Diceros bicornis minor: one gene and its partner. The protein of the gene in region 1 purifies or fractionates together with the protein of each later gene. This does not show direct contact. Links are inferred from orthologs where the notes say so. Each region holds a gene or a part of one and is shown in the gene's direction. Other genes may lie near its edges.

Region 1 (7,722 bases):
AAACAAACAAACAAACAAATAAATAAATAAATAAATTCCTAGGCCCAGAATCTAGCCTGCTTGAATTCCACATTAGACACAGTGTAACCTTATCATTCAGAGTCTGAATCACTGTTGGGAGGGTTATGAGAAGGCCCTGGGTAAATCGTGTGAACATATTTCTTCATTTTTTTTTTCTATTTTTGACTATAAAGGTTTTTTTTTTTTTGCTGAGGAAGATTCACCCTGAGCTAATATCCATGCCAATCATCCTCTATTTTTTAGTATGTGGGCCAGCAAAACAACACGGCTGCTAACAGAGTGGTGTAGGTCCACGCCCGGGAAGGGAACCCAGGCTGCTGGAGCAGAGCACGCCGAACTAGGCCCCTGGGGCTGGCCCTGACTGTAAAGTTTTTATAAACTTTTTATGGATTTATCAAATCCATGCTCACTTAAACAAAAACACAAAACAATTCAGAAGTATGTACTAGACACTGAAATTCCCCCAAGTCTCTTTCCTTCCAACCCCCCCATAAATGATAATTATAATAGCAAACACCTACATGGCACTTAAGATGTGCTAACTGTCCTAAGTGCTTTACACTTGTTAACTCCTTTAATCCTTACAACATTTCTTTTTTTTTTTTTTTAAATATTTTATTTATTTATTTTTCCCCTCCAAAGCCCCAGTAGATTGTTGTAGGTCATAGCTGCACATCCTTCTAGTTGCTGTATGTGGGACGCGGCCTCAGCATGGCCGGAGAAGCGGTGCGTCGGTGGGTGCCTGGGATCCGAACCCGGGCCGCCAGCAGCGGAGCGCGCGCACTTAACCGTTAAGTCACGGGGCCGGCCCTTACAACATTTCTATGAGGTATACACTATTACAGTTCCCATGTCACAGGTGAGGAGACCGAGGCACAGGGAGGTAATCTGCCCCTTGTCACACAGCTAGTTAGTATTAAGGCTGGGATTTGAACTCAGGCAGCTTCAGAGTTTATACCTTTGACCCCTAGTGATAGTCCCTCTCTGCTACAGCTGAGGGTGTAATCCTCTGGCCCTTCCCCCCAGGTAACGCATCACACACTCATTTTCAATCACAGTAATGAGGATTCTTAAAATTGATCCACATAGTGGGTGTCAGTAATAAAAATGGTGGAAGAGGTCTTAGTCCAGGGTAAGTCTCTCTCCATAATAAACAGAGACAAGAATAAACCTACTCTGTCCCATACTCCCCACCAACTCATCAGAGTGTGAAGATGTGCTGTGAAAACACAGATTATCATCAGGCATACACTGGAGGCAGCACACTAGAAAAGCATATTTGCAGGCAGAGGAAGCGAAGCTCAAATCCCAGCTCTGCCATGTAGTGGTTCTGTGCCTGTGGGAAGTCACTGATCTCCCCGGCATTCACCTGCTCCTCTGGGAACAGTAATAGTAATTATCTAACTGTTGTGAGCAATAAGATGATGTTCACAGATGCTTGTTATTAACGTTTTCTGCTCTTCGCTGCCTTGTTGGTGATGCTGAGCTTCGACTGCTGTTAGTGGGGAAGCACATCCAGGACAGGCTCAGCACAATCCCAGTTTAGGGGTGCAGCTCAGGGCAGACACACGATCAACTCTTAAAGTGTGCTAATGAATGAAGGGCTACATCCCTGGGCCCTGCCTGCTCCCTTTCATGCACTTTGCAGATGTTGAAGTGAGAATGTATAGATTTTTAATGAAAACCATTTCTTGTAAAAATTCACTTACAATATCATCTAGCTGCAGACAGACAGGATCCTCGTCTCTCCCAAACCTGAGGACCAGCACCTTCTCTGCAGTACTTTTTATCACCTGGTCTACTTCTTTTTTGCTAGTCAGCTTGGGCAACAGGAAGCTCATCTTGAAATAATCCAAATATTAATCCTCACTGTTAGTCCTAAAATCAAGTCGTAATGTTTAAAGACAGTTAGACTTAGTGCATGAGTCCTAGTTAAACAAATTAAAAAGCTTTGGAATAGGTAATATATTCAGATGGTTTAAAAAGAAACAATATAGAAAGACCTACTGTGAAAAAATCCCTTCCTCCGGCCCAGTTCTCAGTGCCCCATTCCCCCCGACACCAGGTAACTACTTTCATTAGTTTCTCATGTATCTTCCAGAGTTTTGTTATGCATTCACAAGAAAAGACAAATATGCATTCCTATGGTTTCTCCCTTTTTTACCCAAAAGATAGCCTATTGTATCAGTCAGTTTTCCAGCAGGAGAGAGATGACATCCTCAAATTTGGTAATTTGAAGAGACTTTCATTAAGGCAGGGTGTAGGAAACAACAGGTACAGTGCTGTACTCTGGGGCTAGTCACAGTAGGGCGCTGTTCCCACATGAGGCCTGAGGGAGCCACGGGAGGGAGGAGTTAGCAGAACTGTGTGGGAGGACTGCTGAATGGAGAAGGCCGCTGTAGAGGAGGCCAGCCTGCAGTTAAAGGACGCAGCCACTCTCCTCCCTCCCTCTGATCTGCTAATGCTCCCACTGGCTGCCTCCCTCTGGAATCAGAGGGCAGGGGAGCTGCAGAAGCAGGCAAGCCTCCTGTCCCACAGCAGTCTAGAGAAGGAGGAAGAGTGGATCTGGAGGAGCAAACGACAGATGTCCTGCACATACAATTTACCCACTCCTCTGCGCTTTACACCTTTTTACCTAACATAAGAAGATCTTCCCCTATCGCTACACAGAAAACTTCACATTCTTTGTCACAGCAGCATTCTATCTCATGTATGGACCATACTTTTCAAACAGTCCTTTACTGACGAACATTTGTATTACCATGAGTCCTGGCTTAAAGATTCTTGGTGCATATCTTACTAGGTGCACCTATCTTACCACATGGCAAACACCGATTAAGTGTGTGTGAAAACCACATAAAAATAAACAAATCGTAAAATACTGAGATAGAAGGGGCCTAATCTAACTCCCTCAATTTACATACTTGTTTGTTTATAGTTACACTCTTAGCTAAAGAACTAGGACTAGAATCCAGGCCACCAGATTTCTACTTCAGCATTCTTTCTACTACAATAAGCTCCTATTTTTATGACTGAGAAACTCTTTGATCAAGGAGCTTTATTTTTGAGTCCATCCATGAGAGACTCCATCGAGATACTTGATATTTTGAATTCATTTCCAAAGTTGGCTAAAGCTAATAAAAGGGAGGATTTCTTTCTGTATTTTTTTTTGTGACAAGTCACATTTTAAGATATGAATTAATAAAAATTCACATAGGAAATGAAATAGTTCCAGTAACAGGTCATACTTTACAAAGGGAAGTTGATTGCCAGATGGGACTTCATCAAATGTGAGTGGCAGAATAAATTACTGATGAGAGGGAAAGTCGAAGAAAAGATGGCTCTGTCCCACCACTAGAATTCAAACTAACAGCAACTCCCCTATGTTACTGATGAAGAGGAGGAAGTGAGGGGAGGACAAAGCTTCAATAGGAGGGGAACCTGGGGGTTGGAGAGGTGTGGGGTGGGACTGGATAAATGTTGGAAAGAGGAGAGAGAAACTGAGACCATACCTAAGAAAATGTCCATAGCGAAGGATAACAACAGCGAATTCACAAAAGAAGAGGTACAAATGGACAAATATATTTGGAAAGTTAAGATTTACTACTAAGCAAAGGAAAGCAAGTTAAATGATATATTTAAAAAAGCCATTAAATTGGCAAAGATTAAACAATGATGGCAGGAGTGTGAGTGAAGGGGCAGGCATTCATAGTCTCTGCTGGAATGTAGAGGAGCAAAACTTCTCTAGAAAGAAAACTGAAATACTCTTTGGCTAACAATGCCATTTCTGAGAATTCCTTCTTAGTAAGTAATCAGACGTGTGCACAAAGATTTAAATAAAGGACATCCATCACATTTATAACGGTGAAAAACCGGAAACAACCTAAATGGCCATCAATAGGGGACTGGTAAAATAAATGACAGTGCAGTCCTGCCATGTACTATTATAGAGTCGTTAAATATTGTGTTAGAGATGAACACTGCAGATACTGAAGTTCTCCATGAAGAAAAATGTTATAAAATAGTATATGAAGATCCCCTTTTGTACAAAACCTAACTATAACGCATCTGTACATGTTAACATAGAAAAATAACTGGAAATGAATATCCCAACACACCATCAGTGGTAATCTCTGCGTGTGAACAGACGAGTGATTTTTATTTACATTGGGGTGCGCGTCTTTACTTCTCCAAAATACCCGACGTATATGTTTTTAACGATGCCTGTGATTAGGCTATTCCTGGCCCACAACTGCCAGGGAAGATGATACTCACTTTACTTGTACAAGTCACTTCCCTCTTTTCCACTTCAGGGCTGTCGGCACCTCCGACCCTTCTCCAAAAAGCCGGGACGCGGGCGGCTCCTTTCTTCCGTCCCAACCGCCGCAGCGACCCTACTCCAAAGTACCCCCAGGGGCTGATGCCTAGCAACCCTCAGCGGCCCACTTGAGGGGACGGAAACGGAAAGAGAAAACGCACAGCCGCAGTAGACGGACGCGAAACAGTCCCCACTCAAGCGCTCAACAACAAGAACAGACTGTTCTAGTCACCGCCTCCTCCCCCGGCTCTAACCGGAAGCCTTAGAGTCACTTCCGCCCTTATTAAACATGACCGACCTCTCTGCCTCTCCTTCCCCCTTCTCCGACTAGAGGCGGGCCTTCGCCTCTTAGACTAAGCGTGATTGGTCGCAAGGAGACTCGGAAGTGTCTCTGATCAGAGCCCCACAGGAGGGCACTCTAGCCTTGAGAGCGTGGTCGCGTTGTGTCCCACACAGGGAGCCCGGAACTGGCGTTTTCCGGGCTGCTCTCGATGGTACCCTTGGACAGATAGAGGGGACCGCGCAGCGTTTCATGGGACAATAATGGCGGCTTTCGAGGTTGAGGTTTTGGCTCTTTAAGGCGGTCTGAGCCAGGAGTGGCGGCACCGGCGCCCCAGAATCCGGGACAGAAGGTCCCGAGAGTCGGGCTTGGTGAGGTGAGTGTCCCTTCTTCCTTCCTGACGTGCCCTTCGCCAATCATGGCGGCTCCAGGCGGCGGATATCAGTCCCTCGCTCAGGTTCTGGCCTGGGTTTGGCAAGTCTTGTCCCTGTCACCCAACTTGCCTCACTCACCCTAAGGATGCTGCGCCAGTCCGTCGTGCCCCGGCCTTTCTCCTTGCTCTGGTCAGATCCTGCTGCCTGGGGCGGCCTCACTGGGGTCCAGGGATGCTGCCCGGGGTCCACCCTTCCTCAGGTCTCGGCATTAGCTCCCTCCCAGACGGACGCCGAGCCCAAGTAGGGCTCCTTGTGTCTTCCTCTTCCGTCACAGTGTATCTCTACCAGGCCATGTCTTCTACGAGAATATCAACTCCAAGAGGGCGGGGCATTTGTCTGTCTGTTCTCTGCTCCATCCTATTGCCCAGAACAGCGATTGACTCACAGAACGCACTCAATGAATAATTGTTGGATGAGTAAATCCAGTTTCTTTCTTCATCGTTTTTCTCCTATCCCTTGTGGCTTCTTTGCCATTAATCCTTCTCCGGAATCTAGCCCTTAACTCCTTATTTGTTCTGCTCAGCAGCGAGTTAAGTCTGTCAGACTCCTTGTCCTGTGCTGCTGGTATCTTCCCTTGCTGTCTGTAGAAATGTTTGGCCTCTCATCTCTTATAATCAGTTTAAACTCATTTATTCATTTATTCATCAGACTTTTATTTTGCTAGGTACTGGGCATAGCAGTCAACAAGACAAGGTTCTCTCTCCTGCATAGAATGACGTTCTAGGGATATATTTTCTAGTTCAGACTACTGGTGAGCAGAGTCTGTATATCTTACCTTCCTATTTAGATATCCTCACATGCGGACAGATGTTACCAATATGCAGCTTCCTTTTCTATTCTGCCTGATGGCATTTTTCAAAATTCATCTCTTGTTTCTGTCCATGTTATGAGTCTGGTCTGTTTGGCAATATTCTTCTATAGAGCTGTGCATGTTAATTAGAGCTGGGCAACACCTTCTGGATTCTGGTGGTACCCTACCCCTTGACAGTTCCTTTGCTTCACTGACTTGTTGGAATGAGGAGAATTATCCAAGCACTCAGAATTGAGTATGTTTATAAACGGATGGTGTGTAGCGGGAGGTAAAGAGGAATTTGGTACAAGTTGAATGCGAGGAAATCTTGCAGTCACCTTGATACTTTTTAGAAACATTGTTTCCCAGCCTAGTGCTTCTCATCAGTATTTGTGGTGAACATGGATTGTTATTAAACAGATTTTGACTGCTGTGAGGTTTTTCTTTTCTACAAAACACAACTAATGTATGGATCACATGGATAGTAGCCTTGTACCCCACTATCTCTACTTTGCTGTATCTGTAGTTTAAAGGGAGGGACAAGTAGAAGAACTCATGTAAAAAAATGATAAGAGACTCATTCGGTATATAGGAGCACAGCAAATAATGTAACAGTTCCGTTTGTGTAGTTTTTATGGTTACAGAGAGCATTCAGATGCACTTCCTTGTTTGATTCTCACAACAACTTCATGGATTAGATAAAGCAAAAATTATTTCCATTTTACAGATATAGAAATTATGCCTAACCACAGATTAAGTTATTTTTACAATCATACAGGTAGAAAATGTCAAGAGCCTGGATTCTAATTATGGTTTCTGACTACAAATCTTTTGGTATTTCCCCTATACTCCCTTTATAGATGCCACCAGGCTTTAGTAAGTGTCCCTTAGTGAGGTCTGTTCTTGCCTGGATGATATCCTCTTGGATCCTGGTGTTTGGCTTGCGTGTGTGGGCTGTGTGTGTGTGTATCTATTTCTGATGTGTCTTGGGGTGGTGGTAAGAGGATCTTTTGAGATTGTCAATGACTTGATGGCAAGGTCTTGGCAAGAGATAGCTAAAGTAATCCTGGCCTTGAGATGGAGGTTAACTCCCTAAATATACCTATAACTACAATTATCCTTGGATATAGCCGAGCCAAACTTTCTCTCCACTTATGTCTAATACCAAGTGATTTGTCTTCCTTCCAGAGAAATCTCAGAGCCTGTCATGGAGGACACCAGTGAGGATGCCTCGATCCATCGATTGGAAGGCACTGATCTGGACTCTCAGGTTGGCGGTCTTATTTGCAAGACCAAAAGTGCAGCCAGTGAGCAACATGTCTTCAAGGCCCCTGCTCCTCGCCCTTCATTGCTGGGACTGGACTTATTGGCTTCCTTGAAACGAAGGGAGCGAGAGGAGAAGGATGATGGGGAGGACAAGAAGAAGTCCAGAATCTCTTCCTACAAGGACTGGGAAGAGAGCAAGGATGACCAGAGGGACGCTGAGGAGGAGGGCAGTGATCAGGCTGGCCTAAGTAGCCGAAAAGACAGGTAAAGGCCTTAGGGTGGATTGACCCAAAGGGAATGAACATGGAGGCCTGAAAATAACATCCCATGTTTCTCTCTCAGTTTCTTGTTGGACATTTAGAGCTTTATGATTTTATTATGATTTTTTAATATTGAGGCTAGATAGGAAGTGGTATTTTCTTCAGATTTATGGGAAACATTCAAAGGCAACTGAGGAGTAGATGATGGGATTAGAAATGCTTTGCGTTGTCATGTGTAAGTCTGTAGTACCAGGGAGATAAGTGGAAAAGGACAGGTCACTTGTTTGGCGCAGCGAAAGGTTTGGGGCAAGGTTATTTTTCCTATGGAGGGGCTCTTGACCAGCTGCCCTCCC
Region 2 (8,315 bases), on another chromosome or scaffold:
GTAAAATGGGAATTTGTTGAAGAATGTGTAGCATATACTGCATATCACTATATTTAGGGATACATATTTCAGAAATACATAATTTTGATAGCAGGGCATTCCCTGGATTGGAGTGAAGAAGTATTTAAACAAATAATTACCCAAATATTTAAGCTATCCACCTATTCCTTCTAATATACATCATTAGTAAAATGGCTATTTATCCTGCTTATATTATTATTCACAGGGGCACACACATAAATGGCTTTTTCTAAGACTAGGGTGATAGATTAAGTATGACAGTTGAACATGAATAAAGCTCTTGGTTAGTTAATGAAAATTAAACATTACAGACTTTTGCTCCTTTTATTATACATCTCTATCGACAAAGTACCAATTGGGTTTCCAGCAGGAATACCTATCAGTACTACACCTGTACAAGCTGTACTTTTAGGAGAGCTTGTATTTACCACATTTTTGATGAAAAGGAATGTTAAACACATCTGAAATCTATATAAAAAGCTATTCAAGAGAAAGGACAAGTACTTTCCTCTTTAAGTTCTTTTTTTGATAGAAACCTGCACAATGAAAAGAACAGAGAATAAATCATAGTAATTTTGATTGTGATTTCCATCCCAGTATCTTAATTCCCAAGCATGGTAACTGAATGATAGACTTACGGAATTTTTTCAATTTAATCTGTTCTTCATAAATATATTTGCCACTTGTTTTGCTTATTGTTAACACATGAAGAATTGCTAGTCAGCATTTTGTGAGATGGTTTTTTATATTTATCTTTTTTGTGAGGAAGATCAGCCCTGAGCTAACATCCATGCTAATCCTCCTCTTTTTGCTGAGGAAGACCGGCTCTGAGCTAATATCTATTGCCAATCCTCCTTTTTTTTCCCCCAAAGCCACAGTAGATAGCTTTATGTCATAGTTGCACATCCTTCTAGTTGCTGTACGTGGGATGCGGCCTCAGCACGGCTGGAGAAGCGGTGCCTCGGTGTGTGCCCGGGATCCGAACCCCGGGCCACCAGTAGCGGAGCGCTGCGCACTTAACCGCTAAGCCACGGGGCCAGCCCCTGTGAGATGGTTTTTATATTTAAAGAAATGAATTGTGGGTGCTAGTGTGTTCTAAGCCGGTCCTAGTCTGTTGTTGCTCCAGCTTTTATCTAAAATCCCTTTATTTTCTGATTTGTTCATGATAACATTATGTTAAGGATAGGATAAGAGAAACCGTAATATTTTTTCACAAGTATTACATACCAAATTAAATATTTACATAACTTATGAAAATAATTTAAAACAAAAATGGATGACTGCTGGAATATTTTTCTATTTTTTTTATTTTCATCTATTTATATTACACAGTGCTATGTAATAAAATGCTCATATATAGTCATATTGGCATCTGCTTTCATGGAAGAATTTCTATTATTCTTACCATCATTGCTGCACATTTACAGAATTTGAAAGCTTGAAGTGTCCTCAAAGATCATCTCATCAGGATTAAAAAACTGAGGCCCAAAAAGGTTAAGTGTCTTATCCTAGACCACCAATTTAGTGGCTGGACCACAATTAGGGCTGACTCTCCTAACACGTGGTGCCACGCCCTTCCCCCCATACAGACACCAGTATCTTCCCGGTCAAACATGGTAGTCACCTATGTGGATGGCACATTCTGGAGTTAGGCAGTGCACAATCCAGCAGCTTTGCCCGTTCTCTCCAGGGTTTTTAGTTTGGAGCAGGCAACACTATGAAATGATGACTGCAACATGGATAAAGGTAAGTAACATAGGGTAGGTATAAATATCATATAATGAATTGGCTCCACAGCATATCTTACAAGTTTATGTTATGCATGTAGGTGAACGTACAAGGTTCAGGGGAAATGCTTATGTTTAGAGCACAGGAGGAATCAGTATCTTACTTAATCTTTATAATGACCTTAGAAGTTATTATTATTCCTATCTTACAAGTGAGGAAACGGAGACACAGAGAGGTTAAGAAACTTGCAAATATCACACAGCTACCAAGAGGCAGGACCTGGACTCACAATCTAACACCCACACCCTTGACCACTATGACAATGTATCTCAACCTTTTGTGATTTGCACCCCTCCTTATTGAACTCCATTAGGAATTTTCTTAAATTGTATCACCATTTGTGCATGGCATATGATTACGCAATTATAAATTATTTGTTTACTACTATGATGGTTAGTTTTATGTCAATTTGGCGAGGCTATACTACCCAGTTATTCAACCAAACACTAATCTAGGTGTTGCTGTGAGGGTATTTTGTAGACGTGACTTTAAGTAAGGGAGATTATCCTCAGTAATCTGGGTGGGCCTCATCCAATCAGTGGAAAGGCCTTAAAACCAAAACTGAGGTTTCCCTCAGGAAGAAGAAATTCTGTCTGTGGACTGCAGTGTCAGCTCCTGCCCAAGGGATTCTAGCCTGCTGCTGACCTGCCCTACGTATTTCAGACCTGCCTAGCCAGACCCCACTATTATATAGACAAATTCCTCAAAATCGCCGTGTAGATGTATCCTACTGGTTGTTTGTCTGGTAGAACCTTGACTGATACAACTCAACTGTTATTTAAGATTATATTAAAGAGTTCATTTAAACATAATTGTTAATATTACTTACACATATAATTTTAAATCTTCTTTCCATTTAATAAATGATTCCTGCTGTTTAATTTACCTTAAAAGGACATTATAAGAAAAAGTATGATTTTTTGCCACAAATTATTTCATGCTTGGTTTGGGGATCAAATAATAACATGTAAATAAATTTAATGATGTCTTACTGCATCAAAAGTGGACAAAATTGCAGTCATGCCCTAATGGTTGAAATTTTACTTTTTAGAAAAAAAAATTGCCTTGTTTTTATAATTTTCCAGTTTTGTTTGTAAATGATGAAAGTCTCAGGCTGCTCTTTGCAAGCAGCTCTTTCTATGTGACACGCTGAGGAAGGCCCCAACTTCTGATCTTAAAACTGAAAATCCCACATTCTGGGAAACCACTCAGCCTTGGTCATGTTATCAGGGCAAGTGAAACTCAAACTACATTGTAGGTTTGATATGAGATTCCTGGTGATATTAAGCACCTGCACCTGCCAAAATGGTAGCCACTAGCCACGTGTGGCCACTGAGCACTTGAAATGTCGCTAGTGCTACCGAAGAACTGAATTTTAACCTCTAATTTTAATTAAATTTTAAATTTAAAAATTGATACTTGATTCGTTTTTGGAAAAATTTTAAGTATGTTTGAAATAACTTGAATATATGAATCTACTTTTTCAATTGTAAATTTTAATGAAATCTAAACACAGATCAGGTGCTTCCAAAAAAAAATTTAGCATCCAAATGGAAACTTACACTGAGGACAAAATACACATCATATTTTGAACTTAGTATATCCTTTGGAAAAAAGGAAGGTAAAATATCTCAATAATTTTATCCTGATATTTTAAAGGTACTGCATTCAATAAAATACATAATGAATATAAATTTCAACAGTTTCTTCATACTTTTTTAAAAAGTGGCTACTATAAAATTTAAAATTACCTATGTGGCCCACGTTTTACTTCCAGTGGACAGTGATGACCTACACAGCCTGGCAAATAGTAAAAGCCCCCAAAATGGTGGCTATTATTTGCATGACAGGAATGAGAATGTTCCTTTGTGAAGATCAGCACTGCTTAACATCTAACGTCGGGAATTACTCATCCTGATTATACCGTATCGTACCTGTTTTTCTAAGCCCCGCAAGTCCTTTTGGCAACACTGAGGGCTAGAAAAATAAGAGTTCTGATAAAGGAATGGAGGTAGCAGGTGGATTGTGAGATAAGGTTTTAGACCAAGCCCAGAAAGTGAAAACTGTCCCGAGTTTCTAGACTGGCCACATCGATGCCCCATGGCACATCCCAAGACCTGAGCCTGACCTCGCTGCCCAAACCTGTGGCCTCTCCCGTAAGCTTTTCCATTTCTTCCCAAAGGAGAAGCGCCTGAGGTCCGCGAGCCCCAAAGGCGGCCCGGAGAAGACCCTCGCGGGGGCGGGCGCGCCGCGGGGCAGCCCCAGGCCGTAGCGGCGCGGCGGCCGCAGGGCAGGGGCAGCGGCGGCTGGACGGTGACGCGCACGGGAGGGCAGCAGCCCGACTCCGATGCCGAGGCGCCCAGCGCACGGCGGGCAGAGAGCCGGCCGGCTGCAGACGCAAGCTCCACGCCCCTTCCGAATCCCCGAGCGGGGTGATGACGAACACAGCGCGCGACGGACGCACACGCCGCCCCGCGCTCGCACGGCGGTGCGTGCAGGGAGCGCGAGGGAGCCCCGGGCCGTCACCGGCGTCGCGACCAGCGATCCGCCTCCTCCGCTCCTTGCGTTCCCGCCACCTCGGCGATTCGGCGCCCGCCTCCCGCCTCCGTCCGAGGCCTCCGCCGCAGCGACGCTCCTGGCCTCGCTCCTGTCTCTTTAAATGGTGGGGCCAACGGGCCGCCCCTGCAGCTGCTGCCTGGGTGGCCCCGCGCGCCGTTATTGAGGGCGAACCAAGATGGCGGCGGCTTTGGCTGTGTGAGGAAGACGGAAGAGGTGGCGGCAGCGCCGAGGGGAAAGGGACTTCCAGGAGGTCGGAGCTCTCGGGCGCCGGGGGCTCTCGGAGTCTCCCGCGCAGTGGTGGCAGCTACAGCGGGGACAGGCGCTCGTCGGCCTCGGACATTTGAAGCGGCGGAGCGAAGCGGAGCCGCCGGCAGCGGCGGCAGGGCCGGGTAGAGGGAAGGAAAACATGGCGGCGGCGGCCTGAGGAGGCGGCGGCGGCCTGAGGAGGCGGCGGCGGCGGCGCGGGAAGCGGCTTCGCGGCGATCATGGCGGAGGCGGGAGCAGGGCAGTGACCGGCGCCCCGAGTTCCTCCCGCGGCGGGGCGGGCGGCTGCGGAGCCTTACGCTCCCCCGTCGGGGCGGCCGGGCTCGCCGGGCCCGCACAATAGCGCCGAGGAGCGGAGGCGAGGAGAGGCGGCGGCCCGGAGCGCGGGCCCCGGAGCGGGCCATGCGGGCGGCAGCGCGGCCCCGCGGCGGCCAGCGGCGGCAGTGAGGCCGGGGCGCCCTCCGCTTGCAGGCGTCCTCCCGCCGCGGCGCCCGCCTGTCCCGGACTCCCTTCCCGGGCGAGTCGGCGGGGCCTCTGGCCTGGCCCCCCGGGCGGCACGATGACCGACACCCGGCGGCGAGTGAAGGTGTACACGCTCAACGAGGACCGACAGTGGGACGACAGGGGCACCGGGCATGTGTCGTCCGGCTACGTGGAGCGGCTGAAGGGCATGTCCCTGCTTGTCAGGGCCGAGAGCGACGGTAAGTGGGACCCTCGCCTCCCCCGCGGTCATGGGCCACCTCCCTCGTTCTTGGGGGACCTCTCCCTACGAGAACCGAGGGGGCGGCTGCCGCCTCGGGGGAGGGCGCGCCACCGGTCCCCCAGCCCTCCCGGAGCTACACGAGAGCCCTGGAAAGATTTCCTGTCTCCGAGCGCCTGGGGAACACTCGGGCTGCGAGCGGAGCCGGGCATGTTTGAGCGGTGCCTCCTGGGAGCGTGGAGAGGTCGGGGACCTGGGACCGGGACTGTTCTTTTGCACTCGAGTGACCTTGAGAAAGGCACTGATTAATGCGATCTTTTGCCTTAGTTCACCCATCTGGAAAGCAGGCACGAAACTTTTCTCGGAGCTAAGCAAGTTCCTGGCTGTTTCACTCTTTGGAGAACATTTTGGTGTGCTTTTTCTTCTTTCTTTAAAAACATGTTTTTGCTACATCTTTCTGATCCTCTTTGCAGGTTGGCAACACTGGTTCACGGATCTGGCAAGTCTACACTCGGCAGAGAACTTGCTGCTTTGCCGTGAGAAGATAGATTTGTGTTCCCCGGTGTTAGCTGCCTTTTTCATTAGTAACGCAGAATTTTGTTTGTAGTTTCGCTGTGTAAAAGTCTTCTAAGTTTGGAATCATTGTATGCGAGCTGTTTTGATTGCTTGAATGTATATTCATAATTTGGTTCAGTTAACAGGTAGGGACGCTTCATGTATTTTGAAAGAGCCCTCAAGGTTCAAAGATCAAGTTGTTTGAAAATAAGTGTTTCCCTGTTTTTAAAGATTTACGGGATTGCCACTTCCCTCAGTGGCATATACCCTGGATTTCACTTAAAGAAAATGTTTATGTCGGGTAAAACTATTTTCACATTGTCTCTACTGTGAATTTCACTTACAGAAAATGTTCACATCAGGTAAAACTATTTTCAGATTGTTTTTTCTGAATTTGAAAACTTGTTACATTAGTCTATAATTTTATAGCAGTTATTTCAGTTTATTATGCTAGTAGTTTTGTGTCTGAATTGTTACAAATTCATTTCAATGAATTTTAATTGGACTTTATGCAGAACTCCAATTCCATAACAAACAAGATTCACTCTTCTGTAATTGAAGACTCTAGGAACATGGATTTTTAGTTTGAGTCGAAAAGTGGTAATTTGGAGTATATTGCCCACAGGTTACCTCTGTAAGGCCTCCCCATATAACTTAAACCTGGAGAAATATTATTTCCTTTTGGAGGCATTTAAAGGGTCTGAATACATTGGGTATATTTTTCTGAGGCCTATTATCTGACTCGTAAAAGACAAGTTTGAATGTCAGGTGTTAGTGACATACAAAAAAGCACACTATCGAATAGTAACCAACTAACCTCTACATCTTTGGATGTTTGGGAAACTTTTTACATAGTGAGTTGGAAGGTGTGGGCTTTGTAGGTTCATTTAACTTCTTTTGAAATGAAAACATGTAGATTTGAGATCAATTATTTGAAGTCTCGTAATTTAAAATAACACATAAACTTTCACATCATGTGTTCAATTGGACTTACTATACAAAGTCCTTTATTAAAGGATTTTTATGCATTAAGTCTTAGTGTCATACTATCACAGGGAATCATGCTCTACTAACATAGTAATAGGGGAAGTTTTTTTCCAATTTTTATTTTTACCACTTTGGAAATAGCCGCAATGGCTAAAACAAAATGGCTTTAATTTTATCTAATGGGGAAAGAGCTGGAATAAATTAACTGATGGGCCCTTGTTAAATTTAAGTTGTAAGGAAAACTAAATCCAAAGAGTGGGCTTAGAAAATTCCAGGATACTTGTGAGATATTGTTGGAAATAATCTTTAGTTTGATGATTAACGTTTTTTTCTAACAGGAAAACTCCAAATAGGAATAACAGTCTAATAGTTATTGAGTGCTTACCATGTGCCAGAGACTCTTTACTTCTGTCCGGTTGGTGTAGGCACTATTATTAGCCATATATTGCGATTGGGGAAACTGAGGCTCAGAGAGGCTAAGTAACTTAAGATCACACAGCTAGGTTAAGAAGCAAGGTCATTGTTCAAGCTGGGGTGGGGGAAGGGTGCCTGGGTTTGAGTGAGGCATCTAGCCTGTGGCTTGAAATTAGTATCAGTTATTTAATTATTATCATTAAGTGTTTACAGTGTGTTTTAAATTCCCAAATTGCTGTTTATTTGCATTTGCTGCTTTATATTTAGACTCAAAGTTTATCTCAAAGAAAATGAAAACGATTTTTAGCCTAAAGATATTTAAAAGTATAGTTGATCTCTAAGCCACACACTGGAGTTTTTATATTGACTGCCACTTTGGGTTATCCATTATTGTGTGCCTCCTCCATTCTCCGTTATAGGATAATTGAGAATTTTCTTTTTACTGTGATGAGCAAAATGGAAAATATTTTTGATTTTCCATAAAATGAGTCATTTATCTTATTAGAGGAGCTTACACACTTATCTTAAAATCAGGAAGGCAGTTTCTGAATGGAAGTACTTGTGGCCTCCGTGTTACAGAACACATCTGTCTGGGTAAGTATGCCCTTCCCCCCTGAAGCTGAGGCCTGGCAAATCTGTAGCCCACCTTGCCTTGGAAGAGAGAGATGTCCCACCAAGCTACTGAGCCCATTTTCTGGATTGCATCCTTATTCAATAGGTTCCTACTGGCAAAATATGTTGTAGGAACATACCCTTTTCTTTAATGAAAATAAAGTTGTGTGTTCCAAGTCCCTCCTGATTTTGTGAGATTTTTCAGATTTTCTCTCTCAGATTTTATTGTAGCCATGTACCTGCAAATTGCCATCTTCCAATAAAGATTACTTGGTATTATTTTTTCTCCTTGCAGCTTATGCTGTACCTGTTAACTTGCTGAAGTTAGGATAATAGTGTCATCCCTTACATGCTCTCTCACTTTATGTTCAAGTCATTCTAATTCTTTTTTCCGTTATGGGTTTTACCACCTCCA

The links.
Region 2: the proteins of DHX38 (region 1) and PPP4R3A purify together in Homo sapiens (co-immunoprecipitation; 3 studies listed by BioGRID and IntAct, with this or other methods). This does not show direct contact. The link is inferred for Diceros bicornis minor from reciprocal best matches to the Homo sapiens genes DHX38 and PPP4R3A.

Annotation. Positions count from the first base shown.
Region 1 is NC_080771.1:23,320,630-23,328,351, reverse strand, and holds the start of DHX38 (pre-mRNA-splicing factor ATP-dependent RNA helicase PRP16), read left to right. Parts: upstream 1-4,722; 5' UTR 4,723-4,995; intron 4,996-5,131; exon of another isoform or gene 5,132-5,287; intron 5,288-7,031; 5' UTR 7,032-7,050; coding exon 7,051-7,373; intron 7,374-7,722. Other genes in the region: TXNL4B (thioredoxin-like protein 4B), read right to left, coding at 1,731-1,862. UniProt on the Homo sapiens protein: Probable ATP-binding RNA helicase. Involved in pre-mRNA splicing as component of the spliceosome.
Region 2 is NC_080763.1:37,456,770-37,465,084, reverse strand, and holds the start of PPP4R3A (serine/threonine-protein phosphatase 4 regulatory subunit 3A), read left to right. Parts: upstream 1-4,672; 5' UTR 4,673-4,931; coding exon of another isoform or gene 4,932-5,036; 5' UTR 5,037-5,191; coding exon 5,192-5,333; intron 5,334-8,315. Other genes in the region: uncharacterized protein LOC131421176, read right to left, coding at 3,952-4,672, 4,932-5,036. UniProt on the Homo sapiens protein: Regulatory subunit of serine/threonine-protein phosphatase 4. May regulate the activity of PPP4C at centrosomal microtubule organizing centers.